Linked DNA regions of Drosophila melanogaster. The protein of the gene in region 1 interacts with the protein of each later gene in a pairwise test. Each region holds a gene or a part of one and is shown in the gene's direction. Other genes may lie near its edges.

Evidence for each region.
Region 2: the proteins of CG9040 (region 1) and Bacc interact in a two-hybrid assay, tested with the Drosophila melanogaster proteins (one large-scale study listed by BioGRID).

What each region holds. Positions count from the first base shown.
Region 1 is NT_037436.4:13,979,678-13,993,631, forward strand, and holds CG9040 (uncharacterized protein), read left to right. Parts: upstream 1-8,200; 5' UTR 8,201-8,264; coding exon 8,265-8,750; 3' UTR 8,751-8,949; downstream 8,950-13,954. Other genes in the region: CG17364 (uncharacterized protein), read right to left, coding at 2,088-3,175, 3,427-3,603, 3,763-3,924, 4,000-4,146, 5,444-5,831; CG17362 (uncharacterized protein), read left to right, coding at 6,978-7,439.
Region 2 is NT_033779.5:2,744,418-2,758,846, forward strand, and holds Bacc (bacchus), read left to right. Parts: upstream 1-8,027; 5' UTR 8,028-8,423; intron 8,424-8,577; exon of another isoform or gene 8,578-8,651; intron 8,652-8,815; exon of another isoform or gene 8,816-8,954; 5' UTR 8,955-8,997; coding exon 8,998-9,243; intron 9,244-11,590; coding exon 11,591-11,753; intron 11,754-11,827; coding exon 11,828-11,877; 3' UTR 11,878-13,503; downstream 13,504-14,429. Other genes in the region: CG9961 (uncharacterized protein), read right to left, coding at 1-120, 187-295, 350-507; Cwc25, read left to right, coding at 782-799, 855-1,077, 1,140-2,464; Pgk (phosphoglycerate kinase), read right to left, coding at 2,595-2,835, 2,894-3,838, 3,903-3,964; HemK2 (HemK methyltransferase 2), read right to left, coding at 14,133-14,429. UniProt on the Drosophila melanogaster protein: Negatively regulates tyramine beta-hydroxylase tbh and thus the conversion of tyramine (TA) to octopamine (OA).

The sequences.
Region 1 (13,954 bases):
CAGTTGAATCGATGTGGAGAAATATTCGGATGGGGTTGCTGTATTAAAACTGAGTGAGTATCGGAGCGTTTTGGTTAGAAGAAACGGCGTGGTAGAGAAAGATAGTAATTTAGATATGAGAAAGAAAGGCGACAGCGATGCAAAGCCACAGCGAAAGGTCATTCCGATGCGATTGGAAAGCAAGCTAAGCAAGTGCGATTAGCTATAGACTCCTAAGTTGCTTGTATTTCGAAAATATATTATTTTAATTCAAAATTGTTTGTAACTATAACCTAACAAGTACTTTAAAACTGGGCATTTGATTTAGTTTACAGTTTTCTTTCTATTACACATCATAAATAATATTTTAATTTTGAATTAAACTTTTCATTTATTACTCTTGATTTTTACTAAGTAACGATTTAAACGTTTACAACATGTTAAACTTTCTTTAACCAGCAAAAATGTATGTATTTCTTACATATGTACATATGTACACATGTAACTAACCATCAAGATAAAATTACGTATACGACAAGTGGTACAAACATATTGAACTTTTCCCTACAACTAGTCCCAAAATGTTGGATAACAATTCGCTAAGCTTGCCAAGGAGCTCGCAACCGGTTTGTAGGATAAGAATGAGGACAAACAGGAACTTCATACACGAAAAGTTTCTTTCAAAATGATGTCATCTTTAGTTGAAAAGTTCAAGGCGCACAGGAAGAAAAGTAGTAGACGTAGAAGAAGAGCAAGAAGCGCAGGACATTCACATATAGAGTTGCGGGATTAACATATATGGAAGAAAATTTTCATATCGTTTATCGATTTGTGTGTGTCTGTGTATACGTGTGTGTGTATGCGTGTGTGTGTAGGGCTTTAAGGACTCAACCGAATAAGTTCAGGCAAAGGTCAGCCGGAGGTTGAGTGACGTAGAAAATCCTGACGGCAGACAAGTATCCTTAGCTGCCGGCAGGATGCATGCAATTGCAATTGTGTGCGTGTTCCTTGTGTCTATGTGAGAGAGAGTGGTATAATTTGTTTGTAATTTGCAATAGTTGAATATATTAGCTAGAAAATCGTGTGGGGTTATGCTATATTACATTGTTTTTCGTGTTAGTTTGGTTAGGATTTCTATGAACATAGTCACCGCCATATTGCTTCAATATCATCTTGTCGAAATGTATTACTCATCATCCTTAGAATCCGTGATTTTTTAACAACATTTCCTTTACATTAGTTATTCGTTAAATAACATTAACAGTTTGATTAATTAGTTTGTGGCTTTGTGCGCGTGTTTTGCGTTGTGTTCGTGTGTGTGTGTGTGTATGTGTGTGTCTTGGTAACGATAGAAAAAGTAAAACAATTTAACAACTTGGTATTTGGAAACAGAGGGAGCTCGGAAGCACATTTAACATCGATCATCAAGAAACGTAAAATTTGTTTATAAGTTTATCGTTTTTAACTAGACAGAGTTGTCAATTTAAACACTAATTAGACAAGCAGGGGGACAGGTTTAACCAACGCCAATGTACACAAATTAAATATCAACTGTAAATAAACTGAGCTGAATTAACGATACATGATTACGTGAATAACTCAATTTGCGCGATTTAATTATGGCACATGAGACATGATTTTAATACGAATTCTGATAACTATGCAAGGGGGGGCGAAATTCATTTGAACAATGTAAATGAGCCACAATGTATTCCGTTTTCGAGTTTTTCCGGGTCATGAACAATAAAACATGTAATCAAATTCAATTCGCCGAATTTTGCTCTTCTAATTGAATTACAGATTCCCATGCTTTTTAACTGTACGAATTTGTTAGTACTTAATTTAAAATGCGTCTAGCATTTGCATTTTCCTCGTATACTAAAGAGATACGATATTTAAATGTATATGTAAGGACATTATTTGCGATATATAATATCTGATAGAATATCTAAATTTTTCACAGAACAATAGATGGTAAAAATAAAGTAATGATTCAAATATACTGTCTGTACTATTCAAATGTACAAATTCAACAATTGAAAGATCGTACACTAAAGACTGAAAGATCTAGAGTTTAGAGATAGATAAATGAAAATACAAACTAAGGGCTAGCACAGACTTTGAAATTGATCTCTAACCAGGAGTGGATGCAACCATTGAACAGATACGAGTAGCATATAGTTGACCTTGTTTTTGTTGTGATGTGGAAGTGTCTCTATATTTTGTATGGACATGGACATGGACATGGCGATACGGAATGCGAATGGGAATGAGCAGACCACACGATCGTACAAATGGATGCGGGATGACTGATGCTTGAGTTGATTTACCGCAAATCGTGGCGTTTCACTCGCCGGCGTGGGCAGTGCGCCAATTTGCAGGTGATGCAGCTCGGCGCCAGTGGCGAATCCGCCGCTGGAGTCGCCGCCATTGGTGTCGGCATCGCCGTAACCACCAACCACACCGACATGGCCATAGCCGTAGCTGTAGCCGTAGCCACCAACACCACCAGCACCACCACCACCACCACCACCACCAGCACCAGGATGAGCCGGATCGCTATCGGCATGGGCAATGGCATGGGCATCATGTGCATGAGGGACTGTCGTGCTGGGTTCTATGCTATGCGGACCGCACTCATCGTCCTCATCATCATTGCCCCCAAAATTCTCAATGCCATTCATGCCCAATAATGTCCTAAATCTATCCTGATTCCTCGACCTCGCCGGCGACAGCTCGAAGCTGAGCAGATGCCGCTGGTGGTTCAGTTGCTTCTGCAGGTGGCGGTTCATCGAGAGCGTGCTCTCGCAGCTGCGGCAACCACTCCCACTGCCAGTTCCACCGCCACCACCACCATCATCCAGGTCGTCCCGCGAATGCTGGCTGCAGCCCGCTCCGGATGTGTGCCGCGACGAGGCCCGGGAATTCTGTTTGGACACCGCCGCTATGTGACACGATATGAGCAATATGGCGGCCGATCTAGCCGCACCTGTTCGTGACGTCGACACCAGGATGCCCTTCGAGCCGCCGCTTCCGGACGCCCCTCCACCGCCGGCCCCGCCTGCCACGCCTCCGGCGGCACCCCCGCCCAGTCCGCCGGCCGAGGCGCGTCGATTGCCGTAGGAGCCAATCGATCCCGTCGACCGAATGCTGGAACGCGACGACGGACGCGCCGAGTGAACGGTAAGCGGTATTCCTGAAAACAAGGTCATACATTTATGAGTAAGCTGAATATCAGTACAAACTTCAAGCAAAGCAAAGAAATATATAATGGAGATCACTAAATGTCAAAAAGGGAATAACTAATTCCAGTTTACAGATTAAGAGAAAGGTTGAATTGTTATGCTATTAATTCACTACGAAAAGAACAGAAATCTATATATTTATTTTAAATTAAACTAAAGGACTTTACATTGTGGACATTTGAGAATTGTTTGAACCACTCACCTGTATCGCTGGAGTACAGAATGGGCGGCGGAATGCTGGCATCTCCGTAATTTCGATGCCGCGGATACTTCGTCTTGCTGAACAGATGCAGCACCATGCAGATGAGCCCGGCCAGAACTGCGATGCCCGTGGAGACGCCCAACAAGGTGGGCAGATCCGAGCTCAGTTCGCTGAGATCTATAGAAATAAAATGATTAAACATAAATAGTCGCATAATTGGTAGCATAATGATTTTAGGTAACAGTAGCTAATGCTACTTATACTGCACTCGCTCCAAAGTATGTTACAACATATTAGAACTATTTAAATTGTTAATTTGAGTAAGAAAAACCTTACCTGGTGTGCAAAAGACACGGCGCGTTGGCTTCACGTAGCTGACTGAGTGAAATCCGCTGGCACACTGGCACATCGCATTGTGCCGCACCTGAACACAAAGGGAGTTCTCATCGTTGTAGATGCAGGTCTCGTCGTAGAAACACTGATCGCCCAGTTTTTTAGCTGTGAATAATTAATATGGGCAATCAATATATATATATCTAATCTATATGCTGAGCAGCAATAGCAATATCTTACGTTTGGCGCAACCCTTTATCAGTCCAAGTTGCACTGGGTAGTTGCGTTCGCAGCTGCAGGTCTGCGAATCCTTGTCGCAGGATACGTGCAGCAGCTTGACGTCACACTTCAGCTCGTTGCACGGCGCTCCAATATATTTCCCCTTAGCTGCAATGCGCAAACCCAATTTGCATTAACAATTAAGCCATCTTTAAAAGAATGCAAATTAAATGAATGTCAGGCCATCAAAACGACCAAAAGCCTTTTGCACAGTTTAAGGACTTATTGAGCTTTGCAAATGTGTTATATATGTAGAGCAGCCTTATTTGAATATTCCTCTTAATTGGTATTTAAAATCAATTGGTGTTGGAAAAAAATGTGTGCACATGTTTGCTAATAAAGTGTGAAACTATAATATTTTACAATTGTAACAAGTACAAGTTATAAATTGAATTTACAATGCACTTTTTTCAGAAATGTGCCGAGTAATTTACTAACAGATTATCAAATGTGGTAAAATATTTCGTACGTTTATCAGAATTCAGAGTGTTTACTCAACCGTAAATCATAAAATTTAATTGTCTTCATACAAATATCAAATGCAATTCTCTTAGAATCAAATATTATAGGCTGGCACATTAACAACGCAAATTACCAAATTTGTCAGAAATAAATTGAATGTTCATATTAGGTGCAAATATGCATATATGAAATGTTACTATCAGCTTGCCGTTGGCATGCAAATTGGATCAAAATTGAATATTTAATTGCACACCGAATATCAATTGCATTAAAATCACAATTCTATCTGTTTGCACATCCATGCTGTTTTCCTACTATTTTTTTTGGAAAAACTTATAATGGGCTACCAGCGTGTGTTTTCGTATTTGGTAATTCCCGCATCATGGCCAAGATAAAATGGATGGGACCGTGAATCATGCAGTTGCAGCTGCTGCGGCAGATGCGGTGCCAGGTGGTCAGGATGTGCCAAAAATAAAAGTTAAACAAACAACCATGAAAGGACCCGAATGGCGACTGGATGTTGTGCAATTTATGGCTCTCATGATCTCGGCGGTTTTTGGACTTGGGACTCCGGAACCGAGCAAAGGTCAATGCAAACTAACGAAACGCAGCGACGGCCAAGTGCATTATCAACAAAAATTCCATTTATTTCGGTTCGCAAGTGCAGCAGCCACAAATATTCATTTACGAAATGGGATTAAACAAAGCGGCGCACAGATAAGTTTTCACAGCAAGTACTTGTATTTAAGGACTTAATTAAGTAACTGGTGTGTATATACATTTAAACAAAAATAAAAGCTGCAGAATTGGAATTATATGTACAACGAAAATACATGCAAGTTATTTTATAGTTATAGAATTTGGGATTTCTTTAAACATATTTATCAATAGCTTTAAAATAGATTTTAAAATAAAATGTAGTGATTTTTGAACCCGAACCCACCTGACTTATTATTAAGCAAGGCCTCCAATTCGTCGACGTCGTCCGGATAACTGCCATAGTCGTCATCATCAGGCACATTGGCGGCATCACGCTTCCGCGTGCGTTTCTCGGTATGCTCATGCTGTTGCTGCTGCGGTACGCCATCCAGATCCATCGTGCTGGAGATGTTCAGCAGGATCGGAATGGCGGCCGAGTCGGAGGACGTGGCCAGGACAGAGGCGGACACGGAGGCGTGGAGCAGGAGAAGGCAACCGTAGAGGAGCACGGCCTGGCCCAGTTGCATGGCCATCAAGTGGCAGCCGTGTGGATGCAGCTGCTGCTGTTTTTGATGTTGTTGCGCCATCAGCTGCAGTCGCCGCAGTAGACAAGGCAACGTTAACTTCGCCATTTTGTCATTTTCGCACCGCCAGCCGCTTCTCAACACATTCGCAATTGTTTGCGAACTTTCGCCATTTGGCCAAGAAGTTTCCGTTTGCGTCGTTAGCAGTTTCAGTTTATGTTATAGTTTGCAGCTCGAGTTTCGGTTTTTGGTTTGCGTTTCCGCTGCCTCAGTGGTTTATAGCTCGCTTTGGACAAATTGGCCAAACCCCGGTGCACATTACGTATACGTCATGCTGCACATTACGTATACGTCGCCGGCCGCTGTTGTTGCTTTTGGTGCTGGTGGTGATGGTAGTGGTGCTTCTGCTGCTGCTGCTGCTGCTGCTCCTGATGATGATGTTTAGCCTTGTCCCGCCTGCCGTTGTCAAGTGGCCAACTAGCTAGCTGCCTGCCCTGCATGATAATTTTATATAATTTGCCCCCGCTGCCACAAATCGGCTCGAGTGGCGCTTGTTTTTGTTGGTTTTACTTCTACCGTTGCCGTTGCGGTCAGCAGCGTCATCATCTTCGAGTGACCCACTAATGTGTGTTGCATGTGCAGCACCGCTGCACGTCTGCCGCCGCCTTCTAGTCGGGTATTAATTCCATGCAAACTGCAGATTTATGGCACGAACTTTGCGAATCTGGGTTGGTCCTCTTTCGGTCTGCCGCGGCTCGTTATCCCGAGCTGAAATTGCACGGAAAAAGGTCAAACATATAAATTTGTGCTTTCACTAAAATAACCATAAATAATATGAGTAGTGCGTGCCATCACATTAAATAATCACGTAGATTACGCGTTTGAAAACGTTTTCTGAAAGTGAACGCAATTTTAACTGCGTGTAGATAAAGTGGATCTATAAACGTTCGTTTTATATTGTAGACGACAAACAATATATTATTTTATTCCACAACATAAAACGTTATATATCTACTTGATTTATAAAAGTATTTACAGGTAACCACCAGGGGCTAATATTATTATCTAAAATTTCTAAAACAAATTGATAATCAAAAAAACATCTACACAGCTGGCCCAAAGTAAACGAATGTGTGTTTGTTTAATCATATTTACTTTTGATTCATGAAAAACGAGATTCGACTGATATGTTGGTATATAAACCAGAGGATTGAGCTTTCTTCGTTTAGATCACAAAATCTCCCCAAAACGAAAATGAAACTTCTTCTGGTTCTGGCATTGGCAGTCTTCGTAGCCCACGTGGCTGTGGCCCAGACAACTGATTCGTCTGACGATGGAGATTACTCTTACGATTACGCTGATGACAACGATACTGCCGGTAGCTCCGAAGACAACACTGCTGATTCTGGAGACACTAGTGATAGCTCCACTGACGTCGACAGTGGAAACGACTCTGGGGACGTCGATTCCTATGACGACTACGAGGGCTCTAGCGATGTTACGGAAGCACCAACTGCTGCTCCAGTTGTCAAAAAGAACAAAAGAGCTGGTGCCAGGAAAAACAACAGGAACAACAAGAATAAGGCAGCAGCTAAACGTCGCAATGCCGCCGCTGCCAAGAAAAGTAATAACAAGAAGGCGGCTAAGAAGCGAACACCTGTTGCCGCCAAGAAGCGGGCAAATGCTGGACCCAACAAACGTAGGCGCTCTGGATAAATCCAGTTTATTATATTCGTAGCTACAAATTATAAAAATAAAAAATTATACCAAAAAAATTTGTTCCCAAAATTACCAAGATTTTTTTCTATGACGTTTATAAGTTAGGTTTTGAATTAATATATAATAATGATAATGATATTTACCAAGAATGTGGTTGTTGGGTATGGGTGTTTATTATTATGAATTTTGTACAAAACTTGAATATCACAGAAATTTTGAAATATATTTAACTATTTCACCCAATGTTCAAAAGACAAGAAAACATTCTACATAAGTTTTTATCGGCACGTGTTTTTTCCCTCATTTGTAAATAAATATATTTTTGATAAACAAAAACATACACCGCATATACTTGAAAAATTATATAATTTTAAAGACGTTTAATGTCATATCTATTTTTTCTATAAAACTACTAGCAGGTCGCCTAACGCGTAAACCATAGACAAATTGTTCAAAAATCCAGATAAGACATTTGTGACCTTGGCTCTTTTAATATAAAAGAGTTTATATTACTTTTTCGTGCTCTAACACAAAATATAATTTCATAATTTCAACATATAGCAATCGAAAAATGTTAAACAAATACAAGCAGCACACACAGGTGCTCTAAGCCACCGAAAATTAAGACGATGAATTAAAAAACCAATATTTGCATTCTACAGATGTACATAGAAAAATAATGTAAAAAAGCTTTATATATTTATAAATTTCTTCAGAGGAGAAAAAACTATAAATACCCAGTGTTGAAGACTTTTAAACTCAGACGTTTATACCTAAGGTTACCTATCTGTTCGTTGACTCTATAGATACAAAAAAAAAAAGATGAGGCTGCTGTTGGTTTTAAGCCTGGCCATATTGGTTGCCTTCGTAACGGGTGCTGATGACACTGACGATGACTATTACGATTATTACGACTATGGTGATGACTACTATGACGACTCTGATGTAGAGTCCAGTTCGGAAAGTGGTGTTGGTGCATCCAGTAGCTCAGAAGATGATGCTAGTACCTCCGAGGACAGTTCCTCCGGCGAAGCTTCCGATACAGGTAGTTCTTCAGAAACTTCTGGAGATGGTTCCTCCGCCGAAACGACCTCCAGTTCAACTCCAACCAAGGCAGAAAAAGCCAAGAAAACTGCTGCACGCAGAGCTAGACGGCGCAGGCGCACCACCACCGCTGCTCCCAAACGCAAAGTAGCGGCAGCCGCGTCTGCCAAGAAGCAAACACCTGTTGCCCAAAAGAAGAAGACACCTGTGGCAGCCAAGAAGAAGGCGAATACTGCCGCCAACAAACGCAAACGCACAGGCTAAGCAGTTCGAAAAAAGGATAAATTCCCCATAGTCACTGAAAGTTTTTACATCAAACTTTTAAGAGGACCAAGAGACATCTTGTAGAATCTACATTAGTCTGGGAATATTTCATATGTTGTTTTCTGTACAAAAAATCCATATAAAAATACAAAGATAAGGAGACGTTTTGTAATTTACCAAAAATATACATTATTAATCCAAAATATACAACAATTTTGTATTTGAGGGCTTAAATGATCTTTCTTCGGAGAGAAACTAATCATTACAAATCGTTTCTGAATACTTAAAATCGAAAGCCAACTAAAAATCAAGTATTCCTTAAAAGGAAAAAAATTTTTTGAACGAAACATTCATTTAATAAACTGTTGTGGTTTATATACAAGTCTCTGCAGCCAGATTAGTATAAATCGTTCTAGTGGCGTAGTATTACCAAAGTCAGCTGCATTTTGCTGCATATTTTTAGGCGCCCACATTTACATTTACCAGCGCTTTGGCGCATTGTGTTTCTATTTAGACGTAAGCCAATAGCATCTATAAATAGTAATTATGCCCTCATACAAGTAGACATAAATGCACAGGGACACTTAATTACTGATGCGCACAGGCGACAATTGTTTAATGGCGAAAGGATAACGAAAAGGGAGGAGCCTGAGTAGCGCCATCGGCCACCACAATGGGACCATTGTTTTCGATTTCAATGCCGACATTCTGGCAGTGGCACTGCCAACAGAAATCCCGTGTATCCAGTGCACTGCGGCCCAGATGAAAGCCACTCCGCATCCAAGTGTTTGTGTTTGCCCGAGAGAGATCCAATCTTCCAGTGTGCTGGTGGCGGCAAAGCACACATCCATAGACACAACCACACTCACACACCGATGTTTCCTCTTGTGGCACCCGCTGGGCCGCTTAGTGAGCCAAGTGTGGCAACAATCTGAATCATCGTTTTAGTTTCCACCCTACATCCCCACCACCAGATCACCAGGGTATGAACCGATTTGTGAATTCGCCGGGAATCTTAGGTTGGGATGACCAGTCAATAACAATATCAAGCAGGAAATGGTTGCAAATTATCGAAAATTCTATGTATCTACTAGATTTGGTGTTATCTACGCAAATGTCTAAAAGTTGCATTAAATTGTGGATAACTTTGATTTGATTTATACATTCTTATATATAATTTTATTTTGTTAAAATCCTTTTTTTATTATAATAATAAAACAGCTTTGATCCTGAATGTTATAAGTATCCTATTTCAGGATCCGCCAAACTAGCTAAGCTTTTACAGGGTATTACACCACACTAACACCATTGGCAATTGTAGGCGATGGGCTGACGTGGAATCAGAGGGGAGGTGGGAGCGGAGGATAAGGCTGCTGTAATATCTGTGGCTGATGCCTTAAGAGGAAAATGCGATAATGTGCGCTAAACAATGAACAATGCAGAAATGGCATAAAAATAGCCAGAAGTGGGATATGAAGTGGGACACAGCGGCGGGAATTATAATGGAATATGTGTTTGCCTCCGAGGATGATAACGGCCAGGATGATGGCGGTCGGTGGTGTTGCTTTGGTTAGCACTCACAATGATGTGATGATGATGGCAAGTGCCCGATATATGCAGATTGTAGGTGTGGCTGCTGACGTTGATGGGCACCTTTGAGGAACAGATCGTCACATTTTAGATACTGCTTTTGACATTTACATGTTTTGCAATGCAAATCAGATGGGGCACAGACTGGGGCTAAATGAATTGGAAATTTAAAAATGACGACCATTTATTTACATAGGTCTCGCAAACAATCTTTTCAATTATGAGACAATCTTGTCCATGTTTGTGAAATATGGATAAATATTTAGAGCATTTCCTTCACATACATATTTTTATCGTTCTTTACTAGCTAAATAGTTCTATACTAACCAATCTATACATGAGTGTAGTTATATCTCTTCTAAGTTGATATCTTTTGCAATATTTAGCACATAAATCAAACTTTTGAAAATTTTTCACATTGCTCACTTTTTGATAAAAATCTTAAACGCCCAACAAAGACATAAACTTCCTCCTTGTGGATGTATAATTTGAAAAACAATTTGCATTTTCTCGAGGGCAATTTATTTTCCATTCCTTCGGTGCGGCAAAAAGTGGCTGAGGGCAGGGAAACTAAAAGTTTGCTCACTCCAAAGAAATTTTCTCTAACAAGGCATTTAGTTGGCAAACAAAAATACGTGCATATTTCTAACCCGACGGTGGGCAGAATGTTTATGTAATTACCGACACGTTTATAAGCGATGGCGTTTTTGTCAGCAGCACAAGGGGCGGCATAGGGGCAAAGGACTCGTAGAAAGTGAGCGAGTAACTAGCAAAGAGCAGAGCAATTTATTTAAGTGCGAGATATTTTTATGTCTCGGCAAACCATTAAAATGTGCATAATGCAATCCCTTCCAGCACTTTGCATATAAATTTCAACCGGCTGGGGCAAGTAGCGCCATAGCGGAAATGCAAGTCCAATAACAAGGGCAGTCGAGAACGAAAGGGATTGGCATGGGCTTAGTGGCCATTGCATACACTGTTAAAAAGGGTGTTGCGAATACAAATTTCATTTCATTCAGAATCAAAAATGTTCGCTACGTTTTCGGTGTGAATCTAGTTAGATTATTGATTTCGTAATGTGTATTTAAGGATCACATTTATTTATTTTAATTGACCTTATTATTCTGTATTTCAAAATAATATTTTCATATTTAATAATACAAATTAATAAGAGAACATAAAATCAAAATTTTATATGTACATACATTTTTATATTCGCATTCCTTTTTGAATTTGTAACCCTTTTTCACTCCATGTAGACCAAAATAGCTTATTTTTTGAGAGCCCACACTTGCAATGCCAATGTGAATGAACGCACATCCTGCTGCTCCTGTGTGTGAGTGTGTGTGTGTGTACTAGGATATACCTCAGAACCTCTCCGAAGGGAGAGGGGCACCGTTACAGTAACGGTAACGGAAGCAACGAACGCAAACATCATCCTGCATTCTGCATCGCCGAAGCTTGCTTGGCCCGCTCTCTGCCTCTCTTCCTCTCTGAGAGGAGCAAGTCGGAGAGAGCGGAAGAGCGGTGCGCCTGCCCCTAGAGAGTACCGTTGTTTCTAGCGGTACATAGGGCTTTACGGAAACTGCACTCGTGTGCGTGTGTGTATGGGGGTCCTACTTTTAGGCACTGATAAAGGCAAATTTACATACGCCGAAATGCCCCACCGCCCCCAGACTCCCGCCCACTTGGTTTCGGCCACGGCTTTTGGCTTCTTATGTGTCGCCGATGCCGATGCCGTTTAAAATGTAGGTTACACACAGCGAAAGAGGACCCGCAGACGCACACAAATCACATTCACACAAAAACATTCGCACACATTCAGAGCGAGAGAGAGAGAGAGCAGCACACAAATGCACGTGTATACGTATATGCAATATATTTTAGAACTTTCCGTTTTTCCCTTCGGAACGTGTCCTGCTCTAAGGTAATAAAAGTTTTATAATTTTTTGGTTACACACACACACGCGCGCGCGCCTATGAGTGTTTGTGTGTGTGTGTTTGGCTTTTGTCTTTCACTGGGGGCCCAAGTCAGCTGGGCCTTACAGATTTTGATTCCCACAAATTCAAAGTTACGGACTCCGTGACCCGTAAAAGTATGCTACCAAAACGAACTATTCGCCAGTTTTGCGAGAGATTAAAACGTGAGAAAATTAAAAAATGTTTTTTGGCAAACTTTTGAAAAGGGCTCATAAATAAGAAAGTTTTGCCTTTCAGTTTGGTTCCAGGAATTTAGGTAAATGTTATTTAAAAATTAAATTTACTAGTCTTTTTTTAAATGGATACGACGTTACTATTTACATATTTCTCTTTTAGGGAGAAATAAATGATTCTCTAGTTTCGCACATAGGATTTTGATTATCTACACTAAATGGTTAACTATTTCTTGTTAAAAATTGAGAGAAAACGAAGTCAAAAGTATTTTTATATTGAATCACATTCATTCCACTAAAAGGCCAAAACAAATATGCTTCATATTACAAACAATCCTTTTACAAAGAAGCTCTTATTCCTTGCTCAAAATGCAATTTTCGTTCCACGTCAATATCCAATTACACCTTAAGAGGCATTCAAGGTCTTCTAGCATCCTGCTGCTTGTGCTTTTCCACGAACATAATTTATATTGTTTTTGTTGACTTTTTGATGACCGACTGTGTGAGCTGGTGAGCGGCGGAATAGAGAAAATGTAACAACTGTGACAAGGGCAGGAAATGCTCCTCTATGCCCATAATACTATACAGATTTGAACCAAAAACACATACATATAAACGCCAACAGCTATGTACATACATATGTATTGTATTGTAGTACCTATGTATGTGGATGGATCATGTATATGTATGTTCGTCTGGGAGTTCTTGTTTTTGTGTGGGGATTCAAAAGGCCTGCCAAAACAGCCAATCAGGAACCAATCAGCGATAAATCAAAGTTTGATTTCATTTTCAGCAACGTTGCTACCTTTTTCGGACTGCTTTTCCTCCGCCGCCAATTACAGAAACATTTTGTTTTCGCCTATCGCGTTAAAACTTTCACATAATTCGCCTAACTTGGCGTTTAAAACATTTAACTTTGGCCAATTCGGCGCAGGCAAAACTTTTTGCCTCACTGGCACGCACACACAAGCACTTTTCGTTTAATTTTTAATGCACTTTTAATTGCGTTTTCTTGTACGGCGCACTTGTACGGTTTGCAGTTTGCATTAATCCACGTCTTACAACATTACCAGATATCTGTGTGTTGTCTAGTTCTTGCTGGTATAAAAAAACCATGCGATTTGGGAATCGAACTTGTGCGATTGGCGAACTTAACGGTACTGAGCCGAACCCACAGCTGTAACGGTAAAGAACGATGTGTGGGCGAGGACGACAACGACGACGATGCTGCTCCTTCGGTGGTAGCTTGACATCTGCTCGGGGTCCTTTCGGGATCCCGTGCTGTCCGACTATCGGTTCGGTTTGAGAGCGGGCGCAATGCAGCAAAACTTGGAGTAGGTTCAAGTTCCGAAGAGAGGGTGAGACTTTATATCGCTGAGACACAGAGAGAAGGGAAGAGAGAGCCGAGAGAGAGTCGTTGTGATGAGACAGATGAGTGACTATCTATACCTCCTGACTGTC
Region 2 (14,429 bases), on another chromosome or scaffold:
GCAGTCGTCCAGGAATTGAACCGGCTGGCCCAGCACACTCTCCAGCTCCTTGGCCACGGGTTCCAGGCTAAACTTTTTGTTCTTTTTGCCATCCGGACGCCCCAAGTGGGATGCCAAAACCTAGGCAAAAAATTAAGTTATTCGTTCTATACTTTTTAGGAATTGAAGGAAGATATATCAACTCACCAAGGACTTACATTTCTTGTCCAAGGCATATTTAATACTGGGAAGTGCGGAAACAATTCGTTGGTTGTTGGTTATTTTGCCATCTTTCATGGGTACATTAAAGTCCACTCTAAAAATAAATTTATAAATCACACACTAAAACATATCTGGCAAGGATACTCACCTCATAAAAACCCTTTTCCCAGCCACATCTACATTTTTTAAGCTCAACTTCTTTACTTGCTTTCCATTGCAATCGTCTTTGCTAAAAAATCTTGGAAATCTTAATTTTGTAAATCGAGTTTGAGCTCTTTGGTATAAACTCTGCCGAATTGGAAGCATATTAAATAAATTTATTACCTGTTTTTGACTGAAAATACAATGCACGATGAGGAAGTAATTATGAAAATAAGTAACTAAATTAACTATTTTCAATAATTTTCGAAAAAGTAAAAGAAAAATGTAACCCTATGGCAACACCAAGTTAAATTACTTCACCACGATCTGGCAGCCCGGGCGAACATATGATTTTGTTGAAAACAACAGAAAAGGAGGGAAAATCTGGAATTGTTTGTAATTTGTTTGTTTTGCTGTTAAAACGCAAATCAAACCCAAGATGGGTGGCGGAGATCTAGTAAGTAATGTCTCCCAACTGATTATCCGTCAATTACCATTGATTTTTCCCGCAGAATCTGAAGAAATCATGGCATCCGCACACGATGAAAAACCAGGAGCGCGTTTGGAAGGCGGAGGAGCAAGCGAAGATGGAGGAGCGCAAGCTGCAGGATCTGCGCAAGGAGATCAACGAGGAGCGGGACAGAGAGGAACTAAGGCGATTGGGCGAAAGTTCCGGAGTGCTGAGCAATAATGGCGGAGCCGCCGGCGAGGCCAAGCTGGAGTGGATGTACAAAAGTGAGTCATACATGTGAAACTCTTATAAAACTCATTATCCATACATATTTATCTTGCTCCAGACAGCACAGAGCTGATCAACCGCGAGGAGTACCTCCTGGGCCGTAAGATCGACAAGTCCTTTGAGACGCTGCAAGCGGAGGAAAGCCGCCAGGAGCAGAACACAGTGGGTCTCAAGCAAACGATCAACCATGTGGAGCACGACTGTGTGCCCTTCTCCATCCGGACCTACCGCAATGTGCAGTCCAACGAACAGGTGGACATACAGCGCAAGACCCTCGAGGATCCCCTGATGCTCATCAAGCAGCGCGAAATGGAATCCCGTCGAAAGCTGCTTGAGAACCCCGTCAAGCTGAAGGAAATCCATCGCATTCTCAAGACTGAACAGGAACAAAAGGCCGCAGAGGGAAAGAAGAAGAACAAGAAGAACAAAAAGTCTAAGAAATCCAAAAAGAAGAAGAAGAACCGACGATCCAGCAATGAGGAAAGTAGTGACAGCGAGAGCAATGATAGCGACGATGACTTGGACAGAAAATTAGCCCGCCAAGTGAGCAAACTCAAGGGAGACCAAGGTGACCTTAAACTGGACAAGCTGCTGGACGCCAAGTACCGCACCATTTCAAATCAATTAGACATGGCCACCAAGAAGAAAAAGAGCAAGAAATCCAAGAAGAAGAAAAGCAGCGATAGCAGTGACGAAAGTAGTGACGAAGAGGAAGAGCCAAGGAGAAAGCACAAAAGGAGCCACAGCTCAGAGGACAGAAATCAGCGAGAAAGACGCAGGAGTAGAAGCCCCCGGGATAGAAAAAAGCGACAGAGTAGAAGTCCGGAACAAAGGCAAAGGCAAAGGAGTCCAGAAGAGAGAAGGGAAAGGCGCAGGAGCAGGAGCAGAAGTCCCTTAGCGAGAAGACAGAGAAGAACCAGGAGCCCAGAGGACAGAAAAGCCAGACGTCAAAGCAAGGACACTTCAAAGCAGCGCGAGAAACGCAGGAGTAGGACACCTGAAGAGCGTTCCAGATCAAAACGCAGCAGGAGCCGAAGTTCCAAAGGAGATGACAAGCGAAGGATTGCCGAAAGACCGCCTCCCAGCCGTCCCACCGGCAAGCCAAAGTTAAGCGAAGCCGACCGAGAAGCTCGCCTGCGCGAAATGATGGACAACGCCACTTGGAGAGAAGCGGATCGCAGCCAGGTGGTTCGCAAGCACCGAGAAGCATACGCGCGCGAGGAGGCCCAAAATCGTGAACGAGACTTCGACAAGGAGTTCATTAACAAGGAGGTGAAGAAGGCCATTGCCAACCATAACTCAATTGGCGATCGCATCCGGGCCAATCTCAACAACATACAGCGCACCGCCTCCTCAATGGACAGCAACTTTGCCCGCAAATAAACTAGGATTCCTTTATTTCGTATGCATTATATGGTTCCGCAACAAATAGATTCAACACTTTTTAACGTCGTGGTTTGTGCTTACAAGGTAAACGATGCGATTAACATTAATATACCGTATATATGTACGCTTAGGCGCTGGTCAATGCAGCCACGCCTGGCAGTGTCTTGCCCTCCAGGAGCTCCAGCGAAGCGCCGCCTCCGGTGGAGACGTGCGAGACGAGTGCCTCCGTGTTCCACTTGGCGCAGCAAGAGGCAGTGTCGCCGCCGCCGATGATGGAGACGGTGCCGTTCTTGGTGGCGGCCACCACGCCGTCCATGATGGACTTGGTGCCGTTGGCGAAGTTGGGGAACTCAAAGACACCGGGGGGTCTAAAATGGGAAAACCATTATAGGACATTTGGAGAAGTAGCTTCAGTGTGACACCTACCCGTTCCACACGATGAGCTTGGCGCGTGCGATGGGTGCCGCGAAGAGCTCACGGGTCTTGGGACCCACATCCAGACCCATGTGTCCATCGGGAATTCCGGCCTCCACGGTGGCCTCGCTGACGGCAGCGTTCTCGGCGAACTTGTCGCCGCAGACAAAGTCCACTGGCAGATGCAACTGCACGTTATTCTTCTTGGCCTTCTCCACCAGTTTCTCGACGATCTTGGAGCCCTCCTCGTCGAACAGGGAACCGCCGATCTTCATGTTGTTGAGGACCTTCAGGAAGGTGAAGGCCATGCCGCCACCGATGATCATCTCGTTGACCTTGTCCAGAAGGTTCTCAATCAGCTGGATCTTGTCGGCCACCTTGGCGCCACCGAGAATTGCCAGGAAGGGATTTGGTGGCTTGTCCAGGGCCTGCGAGAAGTACTTCAGCTCCTTGTTCAGCAACAGACCAGCTGCGCGCTGCTCGAAGCCATCGCCCATCATGGAACTGTGGGCGCGATGGGCAGTGCCGAAGGCGTCGTTGACATAGACATCGCCCAGCTTGGCCAGGCTGGCACGGAACTCCTTGACCTTGGCAGGATCGGCCTTGACCTTGCCGCCGCTGGCATCCAAGCCCTTGCCCTCCTCCTCCACGTAGAAGCGGACGTTCTCCAGCAGAATGACGGATCCCGGTGCGGGATCCTTGCAAGCGGCCTCCACTTCGCTGCCGACGCAGTCACTTAGGAAGATCACATCCTGGCCAAGCAGGGTCTTCAGCTCAGCGGCCACGGGTGCCAGGGTGTACTTGATGTTCTTGTTGCCATCGGGACGACCCAAGTGGGACATCAGCACCACCGACTTGGCTTTCTTGGAAAGGGCCAACTTGATACTATCCAAGGCAGCGACAATTCTCTGGTTGCTGGTGATCTTGCCCTCCTTGATGGGCACATTGAAGTCGACGCTGCAAAGAAGCACGGGCAATGTTTATGCAACTGAATTTCACGCGAGGATTGGCTTTGGATTACCGCATCAACACCCGCTTGCCCGCCAAGTCCAGGTTTTCGATGCTCAGCTTATTGAAGGCCATCTTTGGATTTTTCTGGATTTTCTGGATACTTCCTGTGCGTGCTAGCAAACTCCGGATTGCGATACCACTGATTCCGCGAATCTTCTTCGTCCTCAACTGCTGTGCGGCAATGTCAGCGCAAGGTCATTTTGTCGGTGAGCTGCTAGGGTTGCATCTCCACTTCCAGGGCGTCAATCCGTGGCAAGCGGTTTTCCGCCGATTGGTAGGTGCCATGCGCAGGATCCAGCTGGGTATACTCCTATTTTGGAGTCCGAAGTTGGTATCGGATTGTATTCTCGTTCGAAAGTTGGATAAAAGTTGTACTCTCCAAATGCAACTCTGTATTTGGCGCCCAAGCAGTGTTGGTAAGTGCTGTCAGCACAGTGCTGTGAAGCATCCGTTCCAAGGGTGTCGAAAAGGGGCCACACAATTCTAAAATTTAAAAATCTATTATTTAAAATATCATTATTTTCATAATATTTAAATATTGTCCATAGATAATCATATGCTAAAAATTAACAAAATAAATGTCTGCATATTCTGACTAGATCATTTAATTGATCATTTGCTATTTACAGTATACAATTTTTTTTATATTAACTTAAATAGAAACCGTTCATATAATATTTTCACTTAAATACATATAAAAATTATTTTTTTTAATAAATTTTTTATAATAAATTTTAACCCCTTAGAACTTTTTTCTTCCACACCCTTGAATGTCTGTTAAATTTTAACTGAAAGTCCGAATTAGTGATTTTTTATAAAAATTTATAATTAATTTATAAAAATAATAAAAAAAAAATTTAATAAATAATAATAATCTACGACGTACATACATATGTCCATACCGTATGTAACAGCCGCCCCTTTGATGTTTGTATGTCAATATGTAATTATTGAATAAATGATTTCTGTTGAGGCCAACAAAGTCAAATCACACAATCTTTCTCGGTGGCCGTTGTTTTATTTTGACTGTGCAAACGGATTCCGCTTATGATGCCATGATGATGGCTCCGCCTCTTCCCCCAATGATTCATTCATTGTTGCCCACTCTGTATCTCTACTCATCTCCGGCGGTCCAAGCAACCACCGGCGGCACTCGGCACTGGCACCACCAAACGCTAACCCACCGCATCACCACCCACCACCCAGCACACGGAACACCACCACCCACCACAAGTGCTCAGTGCAGCGAAATGCATGACGCAGATGGCAAAGTAAGGTATATGGGAACGAACGAGGTTGGGTTGGTTGCTGGCCATTCGGGGGTTTTCTAGCCAAAGTGGCGGGTTTTCAAAGAACTAATCTGCCCAAAGGACCAATTGTAATGTGAGCACATCACTAAAATAATCGATAGATTGCCATATCTGATGGGGTTTTGGGTGGCTGCCTGGGAGACTGGGGTGCGTATAAGCCTATTTGGGGCACTTCAGATGCAGCATTGCAGTGGTAGCGGCTGTCCTCCTTCATCCTTCAGCCAGCCGTCGGAAGAATGTCCACTCACACGTCACGGCTGTGGTGCTCTGCGCAATTAAGGCACCGCCGAGGACCCGGGTACCCACTGGTGATGACACCACGGCGCTGCTGCTGGGTCAGGTGGTATTGGAAATCGAAGACAATGGGGCTGCTTAAATTCATTTTAATAATTGCGTGTAAACCGCCCGTTGACGCAGGTGAAACGCAGGCGAGCAGGTGAGCCGGGCCAGTACATATACCTGGTCGAGTCGCGTCCATGTGGCCCGGCACTCGTGTGGAAACATTAGCACATGCCGGGAAAACGAGACCCGACTCCGAAAGTGTCCAATGCGACGGCGACGGCGATGACGTGCTAGCGCTAGAGATCAAGAATCCAGAGAGTCAAGCAGCCAAACAACAGCCAAGCGACCAAGCGAATCGCCCATCTAGCAACAGTCTAACAATCACTCTAATCGAGTCGTAAACCTGTTCATGTTGTTCCACCCAGCCATCTTGTTGGGTACCTAAGCGCTAGAAGGGACAGCCTATGGTGGCTATTCGTATGCGCTACAATTGGTTTTGTATCTGAACGGTGAGCTGCGCTACTCTTCATACATTGTTTACCATGCTATCGATGATATCATATCGAAATAAAGCTGTCAAAAGAACTGAAACTTCCGTTTTTGAAAAGCCTAACAACCCGATTAGAAGAAATCTATTAAGCACCGCATTAAGCTGAAAGAGCGAAAAACTTAATCGCCGTGAATACAAGCTGATGTGTGTGTTTTAGATACACATGCTAGCTGAAGCGTCTGGCTATCGATTGTGTTTGCATTGAGATTTGTTCGCACCTTTATGCTACAGCAAATTAATGACGCAACAACGTGTAAGTGCACTGGGAGAAATTCCTGAGGCAGGTCAGTAACGACAACGGTCGGGGAAAAATCCCTTGCGTTAGTTTCGTGTTCGAAAGGGCCATAAAATTTCCGAATCGACAGATGTTTGGGTTCCGGGAAGCAGGACCATCCATCCATTTCTGCCTGCTTGAGATCCTACCTACCCGGTGGTTGCCTGCATTTGAAACCGTTGTCTAACCTTGAAGTAACTACGGTCGTACCAACCAAGCCGATAACTCGAGAAATTGGCACAGGTTGTCCTCAGGAATCTAGATACCATTGTTCAACACCGAGAGGTGGTCTCACAAGCCCGATGAGCACGACTATTCGTATCGCGAGAGACCCACCAATCTTGGGCCGACGAGCGTCAAGCCACTCGAACGGATACTGAGAGTTCGGCGGACGGAAAGTGAGACAGTGACAGCCAGAGAAGAACGGTAGGCGGCCCATGGAAGCACAGCGAAATGGAGACGCAAATCGGCTTATCAGGCAGCGATGTTCAGGCAAAAAGTCATCGCTGCTCCTCAAATATGTGATAACTGAGTGGACGACGGGCCACGATTACAGGTGTTTACGTTCACCATGCCGCCTCGGTTGGGATGCCGCGGAACATGTTCGCCGGTTTTAATTAGCGATCCGCCTGTCGACAGTCGTCCGCTCGCTCTGTCGTCGACCGTATTATTCAGATTACCAGATATATAGCCTAGGTATTCGTATTTGCCATTGCTTTCGCACGAAAATAGCTGAAAGCGTGAGAGGCTGTCCAATCGAAACTCGACTGTTGGATACCCGGCAAACGATAGTTATTACCCTTTCGTCGATAGGCTACTGGAAATAGCACCAAGAACCTTATGTCTTCCGGTCGAATTCCTCTAGTATTACTTTATGGGTTGTTATTCCGCTCGTTAATGTGCACATTTTGAATGAACTTGAAGATCAACCTCGCAGTGATTGTCCCACTGATAACACAGATTTATAGAGAAGAGCCAGTACAACTCGAGCACGTTGACTACCAGGTGATATGGGCGATATGTTATAGCCTACTCGGCAGTTCCAGTTTCCCATATATTGGGCGATTCCTGAACCCACTGGGTTCGTGCGGCGAACGAAGCCATCACCATCAAATGGTCGAACCACAAGTGCGGGATCAACAGAAAGATTGGCACATGAAAAAAGAGTCAAGGGTGGACCCAATTCGACGAGTGATAGGCATTGGCATTTAAGTCGAAGTCTTTGGTGGGGCCATTAGGACTTAAGGATGTTTAATATTTCTGGAAATTGCCGATTTCGAAAACTAACCCTTAAATGTTTTCGAATCTTATGGGGTTGCAAATTGCTGTTTTCTTGCTATTTCTCCAGTTCTCTAATTCTAGTTTTAAGACGCATAATCCCGGAATAGAGCATTTCCCCGATTGCGTGCATCTAAATAGTTAGAATCTCAAAAATAGCTGCCCGCTTTCCTGGTCCGCGAAAATCACCTGCTTCCCCACACGTTACCAATCAATTGACCCCAATCCGCGACGACATTGCGTCCCACGCTGGTCCACTCTATAAATACGAATACCGTGCTGAATACAACACACAGCACACACATCTGCATCTGCGGCAACAATGCTGCAACACTTCTTCCCATCGGCAACATCCACATCCACTGTTCTGCTCTGTTCTGTTCTGTTCCACCGACGAACGGTCAGAACGCCACAGAGTGACTGCACCACACACACCACACACCACCATCGCCGCTACCAACCCCCAGACCCCGCCCCCAGGCCCACAAGCGCACCACTGGCGCGCGCAATTTTCAAATTTACCGCCAAACGCGCCCACAACCGTACTCACGGAACCCAAGCAGATTTTGTATGGAATTAATCAGGAAACCCACTCAACTTGTCATTTGCGGATCTAGTTTTGATCGCAGCGCCTCGGGAAAAAGCCCAAAATTAAGCGGATACTACCAGCTATAGCCTCGATCAGTCTCTGAACCGATCCGAACAAAGGTATTCAAGTTATAGGCAAAAATGTCTGCAACCGATTTGGCGCAAGAAGAAGCAAGCGGCAATTTCTAGCCATCGAACGGACGGCAAGCTCAGTCTTGTACGAACCGTCGACGGGAGCACATATCGGTGGTTAGCAAACCAAAGGAAAACGGATATTCCATACATCAGTGGGGCCTACGAGTAAATCCTTTTGCCTGCCGTAGCGCCGCCTGATATATGGCACCTCCTAAAGCCTTACTATATAGATACTATATTATCAGAAAATCACCGCAAAATAATATACCAAAAATCCAACGATCGCTCTGCTCTGGGCTGTTGTTGTTGTCTTATCGACTGCGGCTGTACAAATGCCGCGGCGATTTTTTGAGTGTATTGTATGGGCCAATGGCGTGGGAGAGAGAGAGCGAGTGAGCGTCGTAACGATTTCGGGGAGAGCGAAAAAGAGAGCAGCGAGAGCGTTTAAAGAAAGTTACTCTCTCCTCGAGAGGCAGTGCTTAAATAGACGGCCCGCAGCTGAATCGCATTCAGTGTGTTTGTGTGCTTCGTTCGGTGCGGTTCTCTCTGTCTCTCTCTCGCCTTCCCCGAGTATTTTGCGCTGGTTTTTTGTCAACAACAAGACAATCCACAAAACCAACCCGAATTGTTCTCTATATAACGCAGAAACTAAATAGTTCCGGAAAACCTCAAAGAAACCAATTCAAATATGTCGGCTGCTACGGAACAACAGAACAACGGCGATGTGGCCGTGGAGAAGGTGGCGGCAGATGATGTGTCTGCTGTCAAGGACGATCTCAAGGCGAAGGCGGCCGCCGAGGATAAGGCCGCTGCTGCCGATGCCGCCGGCGACGCGGCCGACAACGGTACGTCAAAGGACGGCGAGGATGCCGCCGATGCCGCCGCCGCTGCCCCCGCAAAGGAATCCGTGAAAGGCACCAAGAGGCCAGCAGAAGTGAGTACTGATCTATGTGACTAGGTAGTTGTTTACGCGGTAAAACCAAAAGGAGGCCCCTCTAATGATTCACTCCAAGCCAATATGCCAGTAGCATAGCATTGTTCGAGGAAAAATTCTAGAAATAGATATACACACGTTTTTCGGAACAGCGCACTCTCCCAATGGCTTACATATGCCCCCAAAAGAGAGAGCGTATAGCTGGCTCGGTTGTGCGTTTGTGTTGTTTACGATTAACCAAGATGATTGCGGGTCCGGCAATCAAAGATTATTGTTGTTAGGTTCAAATCGAGGTTAGGAGGGCCGCCGTGCTTATATAGGCGGGGAGTACAGTTAGCCAGGGCCTTTTCTTTGGTGGGGTGGGTAATGTGTTTTTAATAAACCCATAGGTCATTAGCATTGACGTGTCCGCTGAACAGCGTTACCCAGCAATAGATACATTGTGGCATTACGTCTATAACTCATACGCTTGGCCTTATTTATCAGTCGCTGTGGCTACGGGAATTGCAAATGCAAACGCAAACGCAATTCAGCGCGATGCCAATGCACTCTCTCAATGAAAACACACATTGCCGGCCGGTAAATTACTCATGTCATGTTTGGCCACTTTATTTTTGGTTAGTATCGCCAAGAGCACGCGGTATTCGAACAAGTTTTGGGGGCCTGAAGCAGTCGCATTCCATAATCGAGTAGCACATTTCTTGATAAAAATAAAATAGTTCGGCCAGTAAGGCAGATAAATTGGCAAATCAAGCGCTTTTCTCAGACTCAAACTCGAAATAAAAATGTACAGTTTAACGGGAGCGTTCTCTCGCTCTCTCTCTCTCTCCCCGGAGAAAGATAGATACAAATAGAGAGCGCTGCTAACTCTCTCCCTCGTAATTTGTATACACACCGTTTTGTCTGTTTGCGTATGTGCTTACATTTATCTTTCACTTTTTTTTCTGCTCTGCCTTATGCGTATTTATTTTAGTACATAAAACAAGACGGCTAAACAGGGTGTCGCAAAAGTTAGTTGGGTTTCTTCGGGATTCAATTGAATAATGATCATTATCCCATGATCATGAATTAGTTGAGATACGTTTGGCACGGATAATTCTTAGTGGTACAGTAACGAATTGTATAGATTTCAAGAATAGTTTTGAAAATTATTCGTTGGTTTCCATATCTTTCGATTCCAAACAACAGATTAGCTTTTGTCCCTATAAATGTATCTTCACGCTTAGAAAACACAAACTAAAACCTCTAACTAAATCAAGATACATTGATTACCCAGTTATAACACCAGTAATAGTAGGCTTAGTTCTTGCCAATACAGATACACCCTGTTCGTCTTAATCCTCTATTGGCCTTTTCTCGAGTTCTGGGTCTCGTGACTTATGCTGTAAGCGAAGTGAAAAAGGGGGGCGATGGGTGGCCATTAATTTTGCACATTTTTCCACAGTCCGATTGTTTTTCGCTTCTTCCGCTTTGTAACAGTCTGGTAAATAGGGCCCTTGTGTTGCGGCTTCTCTTCGACTTGGGAACGTGACCGCCTATATACTGCCATAAACCATATACCATTATGTGTATCTTGTTGTTGGTTGGTCAGCGGCAAAAGTTAAACCCACGCATGTTGTTGTTTTGCGCCTTTTTCGCTGCCGACGTCGCTGCAGCAGCTGTCGTTCGGATGGCTGTGAGTGAGAGCGAGAGATTCATTCATGCAGTTCAGGTACAGTTTACAGTGCTGCGGATTCAGATGCTCTCTCTCTGGCGCTCTCGCCCGCTCTCTATCTTACAGGGCACGCTTCGTTTCGTATCTCACGGATGCGGATACATATGTCGCTGCCGGCGTCGCTGCTTATTGTTTTTTTTTCCTTCCCCCTTATGTAGTAAATATGTCGCCTTGTACATACGGAGCACAGATGTAATGTAGCGCGGTTGCACTTGTAATCCACTCTCTCACGTACTCTCTCTCCCGCTGTCTCTTTTTGCCGCAGCGAATTACATTGGCGCGCGCATTTTTCAAATGTTTTTTTACGGCGAAAATAACGATTTTCGTCGCTGCTTGTTTTGTGTGCTGAAAATATACATTTTATGACTATGTACACACGCACAGGAAGTTGAGAGGGGTATTGGATGCCCTTGATCAAGGAGATGTGTGGGTTTGAGTTGGGCGCGTAGGACCATTTCGCTCCGTAATTCTCCCTAATATCCTTTAGTTTGTTTCTCAGATTAATATCAAAAATGCATAATTAATAGTGACGGGCCCCTTATTTCTGTTCAATAAACTTGCTTGTAATACAGTAAATCATCAGCGGAACAAAAACCAAAGGAACTCTACTAACTTCTCTTTTTTCGCTTCCAGGCCAAATCCGCAGAATCAAAGAAGGCCAAGAAGGCCGCGGCCGCCGATGGAGATTCCGATGAGGAAGAGGCTCTGGAGGAAATCATCGAGGGCGACAGTGAAATCGAGAGCGACGAGTACGACATCCCCTACGATGGTGAGGAGGATGACATTGAATGTGATGGTGAGTTCACGGAAGCACTTCCCTTTTCCACATCAATCTAATCCCCGGATTTTCCCTTTCCCTTACCCGCGCAGATGATGATGATGATAATGATGACGGTTCCGGCTCGGACGATCAGGCGTAATAATAATGTAGTCAAAAATACAAACAAAAACAAACAAAAATTTAAATTAATAATAAATAAAAGTTACAAGCAAAAACAAAACAAAAAAAATATAATAATAAACCAACAAGCAGAAAATAAACCACAACAAGGAGAAAATGAGGAGGAGGAGGAGAAAAAAACCACAAAAAAATCGCAAAAGTATATAATTTTTATGTTTAAGAAATAATTTTTTATTTCTTACCTTATTTTAATTGTATTTTATGTGTACTTTTTTTATAAAAAACTACAAAACAAACAAAAATTGTAATTGAAGGCATTTTCGTATAAACGCAACCTATACGGAATCCAACAAAAAGTAAACATCCCCACTATATACAAGAACAAAACAAAACCAAAATCTTTCTTTCCTTTATCTCATAAGTCCTAATTTAAACGCCCAGTTGATGCGTAAACCAAGATATACAAAGATTTCAAATGTAGCGTAAACGAAGCCCGCGAATTAAACACAGATACACTACACTCACACACACACACGATATTCAAATTCATTATTAAATTAGACGTTACATTTGTGAATGAATGATCGATCGAAAGAAGCAAAAATACAAAAGTGAACATTTGAAAATGAACATGATTATGAACATGAAAAAGAAACAGCAAATGCAATTAAATACAAAACAAATAAAACATAAAAATTGTATTTAAATAAATCGCAAAAATCATTGAAACCCCATACTCGACAAGCATTCAATGACACTCAAGTTTTAGCTATGGTTTCAAAAATTTCGCGCCCATTGTGGCCACAGTCACCCGAATTTCCCAAACCCAAGGCACTGGGACTTAGTTGGTCTTCGCTTTTGGGGCAAATACAAAAAAAAAAAACAAAAAAAAATGAAAGGAAAACATCGGGAAGTTTGAGTTCTAACCTTCTGTTTCGTTTCAGCATTTAACTATAAACTATGACTAATCTTAAGTACTTATGTCAGTATTAAAGCGAGGGCTTTATTATTCTGTTGATAAGTTGTGCGAGCGAGTCGTTGATAAGCCTAATTCATTTGTAAATTGTAAAAACCAACTCGAGAATCGAAAAACGAGCAAGAAAATAAACTTTTAATGTTACATGTATCTAATTAGTAAGGGCATCCAAACTATTTATACACACACCCCGTACGACGAGTTCTCAATATAAACATATAACGACTGATATTTCAAAACGAATCGTGCCCAGCTGGTCAATCACGGCACTCGACACCGAAACCACCCAACCACCACCATCCTCGAATCTAAACGATTTGTCCCGGAAAGACAGACCAGCCCAACATACACACACAATCCACCCACTGACCCAGATCCAAACTCCAAGAGGCTTAAAGCTGGTAATGCCAACCAGCAACTGAATAATTGAGTGCAATTAAACCAATATGCCCAAGATAAATCATCCGATTTGATAACTGATAAACAATAGCGATATCACAGACAATGTTAAAGAACTATGCATTTTTGTAAATACCAATTACTCATGTATCTGCTCCGTGCGAGAATAACATCTAGTAGCGCGAAAGGGCAAAAAGAGAAAAGAACCACGAATCGAAAACGAGAATAAGAAACAATTTTGAACGATGAAATAAATTATTGTAATTACGTAAAAGCGAAAACCGTACGTACATACCACCCATTTGGCATCTGTTCCGATGCCAATAAAAGTTTGTTTCAATTGCAGTTGGCCATTTTGGGTGGGGCAATCACCTCGCTTCGGTGTTCCCAGGGGTAGTAGTTCTTAGCCAGGAGCATGTACGTATGTAGGTACATAATTCATAGATTGGCCGCCCCTACATTACTCCGATCCATCCCTTCCATATCCCAGTTTTCGTTCGGGGGTTGACGAGCTGGTTCCCACAATCCTCCCTATGAAAGAAATCATATACTAAGGGATGATGGAAAAATTCAATCGGAAATTTCCTTTGATTAAGTACCTTTTTCGGATTGAAAATCGATTAGCCTTAGCAGATGCCTATTAAAAAAACGAATGATGAAATTCCGGGCTCTTCGTTGGGCAAATGAAGTTGAGCTACTTTTATATTCAAATTCAAATATAAGCGCAAAAATTTCTAAAAGTTTAAGAGCTTTTAAGTTTCATAAGCCATTTCTTTCATTTATTTCAACTTTTATTAAAATTATTCTCCATATTATTTAGTATCAAATTTAAGAATAAACGCCTAAAAAAGTTTATCTTTTAATTAAAATACAACTTTAATTTGATGCTATTGCACGAGTCATGATGATGCCAAGTACCTGGTGACCTTCAGTATGCACAAATGCTCGCCAGGAATGCGTCGCTCCATGAACTTAACAGCCCGGAACTGGAGGCCCTCTAAGTATTTGATAATCTCCTCCGGCTTGTTCTCCCGCAGCAGGAGTAGGTAGAGCACGCCTCGAGGCGAAAGAATGTCATCCAATTGCTTGAGTAGAATGTCCGTGACGCGTCGCCCGTCCTGTCCACCAGCCCAGGAGAAAACCAGATTGCGATCCGTTGAGGATTCGCTGTGCGAATCGAACTGTTGCGTCTGCAG